Tamandua tetradactyla: one gene and its partner. The protein of the gene in region 1 interacts with the protein of each later gene in a pairwise test. Links are inferred from orthologs where the notes say so. Each region holds a gene or a part of one and is shown in the gene's direction. Other genes may lie near its edges.

Evidence for each region. The genes of interacting proteins can lie anywhere in the genome.
Region 2: the proteins of VAMP5 (region 1) and ERGIC3 interact in binary tests that used the Homo sapiens proteins (3 or more experiments, as listed by UniProt). The link is inferred for Tamandua tetradactyla from reciprocal best matches to the Homo sapiens genes VAMP5 and ERGIC3.

The regions. Positions count from the first base shown.
Region 1 is NC_135343.1:59,888,565-59,892,311, forward strand, and holds the start of VAMP5 (vesicle-associated membrane protein 5), read left to right. Parts: upstream 1-1,507; 5' UTR 1,508-1,569; coding exon 1,570-1,590; intron 1,591-3,747. UniProt on the Homo sapiens protein: May participate in trafficking events that are associated with myogenesis, such as myoblast fusion and/or GLUT4 trafficking.
Region 2 is NC_135327.1:16,958,975-16,962,721, reverse strand, and holds the start of ERGIC3 (endoplasmic reticulum-Golgi intermediate compartment protein 3), read left to right. Parts: upstream 1-1,066; 5' UTR 1,067-1,157; coding exon 1,158-1,245; intron 1,246-1,375; coding exon 1,376-1,446; intron 1,447-1,555; coding exon 1,556-1,643; intron 1,644-1,862; coding exon 1,863-1,982; intron 1,983-3,747. UniProt on the Homo sapiens protein: Possible role in transport between endoplasmic reticulum and Golgi. Positively regulates trafficking of the secretory proteins SERPINA1/alpha1-antitrypsin and HP/haptoglobin.

The DNA.
Region 1 (3,747 bases):
AGGTACTGGTGAAGAGTTTTCTGGGAGCCTTGGTATACGGAAAATTCTAAACCTTCATAGTTTTTTAGAGTGGACTGAGTGTTCCCCTTGGGTCCTGCTGGAAGTGCTAGCATTGATATGAAGTCTCCGTGGGGAGAGCATGTAGGCATCTGGATTAGGGCCTCCTCCCACTTCACCATCTTTCCTCTGTTGCATCTAGAACTGAGAATGGGAAGATCTGGACTGATTTTCCTTGTCTTGTGGTTCTGCAGGTCATTTGTCTTTTGTCTATCCCAGCCCTTCCGGGATTTAGCAGGGCCTAGGGGTCTCAGCTTTTCTGAGGGGATGAGCATCTCTCCCTCGAGTCTCATGGCTGGGCACAGTCAGTGTCACAGGACAGGGCCTGTAGCCCTGCCCCCACCCCTCCATACACAATGGACCTCTGTCCTTGGGCCTCCCTCCTCCCCACCAGGTCCTACCATCATTGTCACTGCCCTGTTTGGGGGGAGGAGTCTTGTCATTTCTGTTCCAATTCAGTTCCTTAGGTTTTCCAGAATGAAAAACAACCTGTTTTGGGGGGGAGGGGTTAGTGGGGAAGAGGCAGGGACAGGAGGTAGGATTTGGGACTGGTATTGGCAATTCAGGTTCTGATATCAAGCTTCTTAATCCAGAGAGAGGGAGAAAGAAAGCACAGAAGAGACCTCCAGGGCGGTCCTTCCCATGACTGTCTCCATCTTCAGTCCACTCCTGGATTCCAGGTCCAGGAGTCCTTGGGTCCCAGGTGGTCAGGGAGGGGTGGGAGAGGGGAACCCTCTTGGGGTGGAGCTTCTGTGCTCTCAGGGGCTCAACCCAAGGTAGAGAAGCTGTCAACTCACTTTCCCCGGAGGGGACTTATTTGAGGTGTAGGTTGTGGCACGAGGTGGGTGGGAGACTGATTGATGGTTGCTGATTTTTCTGCGGCAGCCAGAGGAGAGGATGGGTGCGTTCAGCTCAGGAAGGCTCTGGAGAGGCAGCAGACATGCCAGTCTCACCCCATCTACCGACTGAACGGCGGTCATGTCAGGGCAGGGTTGCACTTGACCTCTGTGGTGAGGAGGGGAAACACAGAAAAACTAAAGTTAGCATTTCCCCACGTGTGTGTGGGCGGGGAGGAGGGGTAGTGCGTGTTTGGTTAACGATGGGATGCACAGGCCCAAGGTCGCAGAGCCCCCCGCCTGGCTTGTTCATGGCCATGTCCCGCACCTCGAAGAATGCGTGCAGACCCTTTGCGGAATGAATGCGTGACGCCCCCCTAGCTCAATCCGATCCCCCCTACCCGGGACGCAGCTCCACGGACGGCTCCCGGGGCCCACTCCGCCCTGCTCATATCACCTGCCACCAGGCTGGTCGGGCGTAGCTCCCAACCCGCTAAGATGGGTGCTGACGCCCGGGAGGAAAGTGCCTTTCAACAGGGCCAGGTCGCGGTGGCGGCTCGGCGCGTGAAGGCGCGCCCCCCGCCCCCGCGGTCCGGCCCCGCCCCGCCCCTCCGCTTCCTCCCTGGCGGCGGGCGCTGCAGCCCTCGGCGGGCAGAGGAGCCGGGAGCGGGTCTGCATGGCTGCGGCGGAGGCGATGGTGAGGAGGCTGCCCGCGGGGGCGGGGGGCGCGCGTCGCGGCGGGCCGGGTGGGATCCAGGAGTCCCAAGTCCAAGAACCGGGCCGTCTTCCGGCCGTGGTGCCCGGCCGACCCAGCGAGGTGACTAGGGGTGGGGACCGCAGGACCGGGACCGGACTGTGCCCTCCCGGCACGCAGCCTGGAAGGGAGACTGAGGCTTGCGTCCCGTCCAGGCTGCCCCACGCGGGGTGAGCAAAGTGGCTGCGAGCACGGACTTTGGAGTTAGACCCGGGCTGAGATCCTACCCGCGGCCGCTATCCAGCGCTGTGGCCCAGGCGCGTCACTTAGCTTCCAGTATTCTTTTCCGCAACTGTGAAGTGGGCTCAGCAGTCCCCACCTTGCTGGGGTTTTGCGAGGTTAAATGAGATATAAGGACAGAGATCTGCTTAGTCTCACAACTCCCTCCCACGAGGTTGGAAGGTAATGTGATGACCTCTTTGGCCCTTCCTGGAGCTGTGAGAGCCAAACCTGGTCCAAGTTGGAAATTTGAGTAGATGGGGTGGTTACGGCTGCGTCAGCCCATGGCAGGGTACTGGAGGACAAACTCCTTTCCTGGGGGAAAACAAAAGGAAAAGTAATTACTTGTGAAAGTTCCACTGAAGTTATCAGAGTGTGGCACAGACCTGACTCCCTTCCTAATGTCTACCTAGGGACACATTCCAAAGGTGAGTCATCCCCTTCCCCTACTGCAGATTAAGGCTTCTGCCCCACCCCACCCGGGTCATTTCCAAGGCAGAGGTGTCAGGGACAGCTGGTGCTGGTTTTCTCTGCCATGCCTATCCTCCCTGCCACCCCCCACCCCCAAATTCCAGAGCTAGAGGATTCTGCCTTGGAGAAGCTGGTGGAGATGTGATGGATGTGGCCTGGCTGAGGGTCCTGACGCCTGGATGGCCGCAGCTCCAGGGATCTGGAGACAGGAAGAGGACGTGGGGCAGGAAGGTAGTGCAGAGCTAGGACGGCCATGCCAGGAAACCAAAGGAGGCGGTGAGCATGGGACAGAGCCCAGACAGAGCCCAGAACCGGCTTCTGAATATGCAGGGCAAGGGGGCAGTCACGCGGGGGGTGGGCCTTCAGCCAGCCCTAAGCCCCTGGGGAAGAGAAAGGAACCTCCGGAAGTACAGGCTGAGGCCAGGGTCATTTATTCGGCAGTATCAGAAAACCCTGGTACTCTGGAAGGTTTGTTTATGGCAAACAATGGGTCAGAGCCTCGCCCCTACCCATCCCTCTTCTCTTCTTTGCCTCTTGCGCCAGCTCTTTCCTTTCCTGCATCTCATCCCTGTGTACTGCCTGGTCCTTTTTCCGTTCCCTTCTTCCTTATGCCTCATTCCATCAACAGTTTATTTCCTGGGCATTTCCTCTGTGCCAGGCATGGTGGCAGATGTAAGGGATAGAGTAGGAACAGTGGTGGGGAAGATGGAAAAGAGTAAGTAATTTCCTGAATTCCTTCACCTTGAAAATAAATGGTCCCCTCTCACGCCCAGCCTAGAGAATTTGTGTTTGGAACCACAAGCCTTCCTCATATGCACCCACATTGAGCTGGCAGCATCAGAAGCTCTGGTGTGTCTTTAGCCAGGCAGCAAAAGCATTTTACCTCCCTTACCTGCATCCAGTTTACCACAGGGATCAAGAATCTCTGGAGCTTGATCTCTGGAGTCTATGTTGGTTCAAATCCCAGATCTTCACTTGCCCGGTGACCTTGGGCAGGTGATTTAACCTCTCTGGGCCTCAGTTTATTATAAAATTGGGACAATGATACGGTTCTCAGTGGGTTGGTGTAAGGCTTAAATCAGATAAAGTGAATAAGCACCTAGCGGCTTAGCACACAGCAGGTGACCCCGGAATCGTGGTCATTATTACTGCTTCAGACGTGAAACCTCTCAGCAGCCCACCATGCCTGATGAAGCTAAAGAGGCAGGTTATCAAGGCCCACTTAAAGCTCTGCATTTAGATTAGTACAAGGAGTACACAAGTTGGCATGAAGCCAGGCCTTGCTTGGTTGTATATTTTGACTGGCCCAAGTCAACATATCATTCAGTACTTGGGATCTGACTGCTTAAAAGCAAGGGAAAGCTTGGGCTATAATGACAGTAATAGTTACTATTTATTGCCCATTTAGTA
Region 2 (3,747 bases), on another chromosome or scaffold:
TGCTGTTGTGGGATGTAATGTTCTATAAATGTCTGTTAAGTCTAGTTCATTCATTGCATTATTCAAATTGTTTCTTTATTGATCCTCTGTCTAGATGTTCTGTCCATTGATGAGAGTGGGGAATTGAAATCTCCAACTATTATGGTAGATGTGTCTATTTCTCTTTTCAGTGTTTGTCTCACTTATTTTGGAGCACTCTGGCTTGGTGCATAAATATTTAAGATTGTCATGTCTTCTGGTTGAATCACAATTTATTCTTGATATATCTTCAAAAGTAAATCTACCACATTCTTTTGAAAGCCTGCATAATATTCCATTGAATGGAAGGGCTATGCTTTATTCAATCATTCCCTATTGCTAGGCATTCAGGATGGTTCAGGGAGATTGTTTAGTGACAATCCCATGCATATATCCTTATGACTTGGTGCGTTTTAAAATAAAAATGTGAACGGAAGGGATAGAAACAATATTGTAGGTTGTAATCACAACCCAGCCACCTGGTGCTTTTATATCCTTAAATGGGATTCCTCATCAGAATCAGGCTTGGCCATTTATTTGGCTGTTATCTTGGGCAGGTTATTTAGCTTCTCCAGGCCGCAGAAAATGGAGATAAAAGTCACATCAACATTCTAGGTTGGTGATTCTACTTTAGGTGTATCAGAATCATCTGAGTGCCACTCCCAGCGTTTCTGATTCAGTCCATCTCTCGGTGGTGCCAGATCCTTTCCATACCTAACCACTTCCCAGGTGATAATGATGTTCCTGGTCTGGGGGCCACGCTTTGAAAACTACTGTTCTAGTTCGTCCCAAGAAGTTTCAAGAGTCCGATGTGAAACACCCGGGGCAGTTTCTGGCACACAAACTGCTATTTCTGCTTCTACGCAGCAGAGACCTCCTTCAGGAACCGCGGTTCACAAAGGATCCCCTGACCACAGAGCCCCTCCCGAGTTCTGTCAAGACCACGCAGCTGGCCCGTAGGGGCGTGGCAAACCCTGGTGGGCGGGGCGGTCGGAGTGACACCGCGAGTGAGGAGGCAGGGCCGAGCGTGCGTACTGCTGCGCCTGCGTGCAGAAAGGGAGGGGGCGTGGCCCCGGCTCCGGCGGAAGCGGGAGGCTGCAGGGGCGGGCCGGCTCGCATCCCTTTTCCGGCCGGTCCCCATGGAGGCGCTGGGGAAGCTGAAGCAGTTCGATGCCTACCCCAAGACTCTGGAGGACTTCCGGGTCAAGACCTGCGGGGGCGCCACGGGTAGGCCGCGGAGGGGCCGGGGTCGCGGAGATGGGGGGACCCTAGAGCTTGTCCCGGGCGCCTGTGGCCTGCCCGGGGCTGAGGGAGCGGAACAGAAGCAAAATCCTGACCCTTGCCCCTCGTCTTGCAGTGACCATTGTCAGTGGCCTTCTCATGTTGTTGTTGTTCCTGTCCGAGCTGCAGTATTACCTCACCACAGAGGTAAGGGGGCGGGGTCCTGTACCTGGGCGGGGCTCAGCATTCTAGCGGTGGGGCCTGTGAAGGTGGGAGAGGCTTAGGGCCCATCCTTGCTGAGCTATCGCTGCCCCAGGTGCATCCTGAACTCTATGTGGACAAGTCGCGGGGGGATAAACTGAAGATCAACATCGATGTGTTTTTTCCGCACATGCCTTGTGCCTGTGAGTACCTTACCATGGGTGGCATTGCTAGCCCCAGGGTTCTCGAGTGGGCATCCAGATTCACACCTCCTGCCTTAATTATGGACTGGACCCCGGAACAAACCTCCTCCCACAGATCCAGTCCTGCCCCAAGTCAGACCCAGCAGCCCTTTCCACTCCAAAACCCAGATACCATTGTCCCTAGGATCTCAGTACCTTAGCCCGACTTCCTGCTTCCAGATCTGAGCATCGATGCCATGGATGTGGCTGGGGAGCAGCAGCTTGATGTGGAACACAACCTGTTCAAGCAACGGCTGGACAAGGATGGCATCCCCGTGAGCTCAGAGGCAGAGCGGCATGGTAACCAGGGGAGGGGGCCAGGGCTTCAATCCCAGAACTGGATATGCCCAAGCTCTACTTCCTGGCACATGGGCTCCGTGAAGCAACTAAGACCCAGAAAGGTCAAGAGGCTTTTCTAGGGTCCCCCATGTATTCAATTAGAGAGCACTGAAATTCAGCCCTCATTCTCAGAGGTCCCCAATCCCTGCCTGTTGTGAGTTGAATAACAGAAGTTTGGAATGACCCTTTGTGCTGTTGCCTTGGTGGAACTCCTCCAGATACACCCAAGCCTCCCTAAGTCTTTGCTTCCTTAGCCCCCTGGCCAAATTCAGTCCTTAATGCTCTTCCCCTTTGGAATGTAAGGAGACTCAAAGAGTTTAGGCTCTAGAGTCAAACTGCCTGAGTGCTTGTCTAGCTTTATCTGTTGTAATCTGAGCCTCAGTTATAAAATGGTGATAAAAACAGTAGTAGCCACAACATGGAATTTAGGATCAAATAAGGCATTATATATAAAATGCCTGGTACAGAGTGGATGCTGACATTTAGCTCCTTTCCTCTCTCTAGGTTGCCTCCCAGTGGCTCCGTTAACTCAATTTCCCATCATAGCAAAACCCTCTCCCAACCTAATTTGAAAACTAGGAGTTTTCAAAATCTAGGGATTGCTCTGGTGAGGAGCTTTATCAATCATTCTTTTAACAATATATGTTGAACACTTTGAGGACCAACAAAATTTTCTGCAGTATTGGATGTAGGGGGTGTAGAGAATAGAGTCAAACATGATTCCAGAGCTTTTAGCCTGAGATAATGAATGACTTGATATGGGGATGACCAAAGGAGAAGGTTTTTTGGGGGGGTGAAGGTGGGACATAATGGAAGAATGTTCCAAAACCATTGCTGTGTAACAGATTATCCTAAAAGTTAGTGACTTAAAACAACAAACATTTTTTTCATAGTTTCTGTGGGTCAGGAATTTATGAGTTGCTTGTTTGGTTGGTTCTGGCTCAGTGTTTCTCGTGAGGCTGTGTTCAAGCTGTCTCATGGCATTGCTGTCATCTGAAGGCTTGACTCTGGTCGGAGGATCCATTTCTAAGAGGGTGCACTCATTTGGCTGTTGGCAGGACACCTCAGTGCTTCACCCCATGAGGCCCTCAGTAGGGCTGCTTGAGTGTCCTCATGAGGTGGCAGCTGGCTTGCCCTGTGTAAATGATCCAAGAGAGAGCAAGGTAGGAACCACAACTTCCTTTATGACCTAATTGCAGAAGTTGCACACCATCATTTCTGCACTGTTATTGGTTTCCCAGGTCAGCCTTATTCCTATGGGAAGGGACTCCACAGGGGTGTGAATGCCAGAAGGTGGAGGCCATTTGAGACATCTTGAAGGATGGCTCCCACAGAGGAACATCAGGATTGGAGGAGATACCTGGTCTGAGGCATGTTAAGTTGGGGATGCTTATTTTTTCCCCTAGTGATTTTAAGGAAGCAATTGGATGTACTAACTTGGTTTGGAATTTAGAGGAGTAGGGCTGGAGAAATAAATTTAGAAGTCATCAGCAATATAGATGGTCTTTAAAGCCATCAGGCCAAGTGGGGAAACCTAGGGAGTGAATGTAGGTAGAGAAGTCTAGGGACTGTACTCTGGGCCACTCCAGCACTTACAAGTCAGAAAATGAGGATCCATTTTCTGAGAGGTATTAGCCACAAGGCAGGAGAGGACAAGAGGTGCCCCAGAGGTCAAGTAGAGAAAGAGTTTCAAAGAGAGAGAGTGAACATCTGTGTCGAAAGTTAC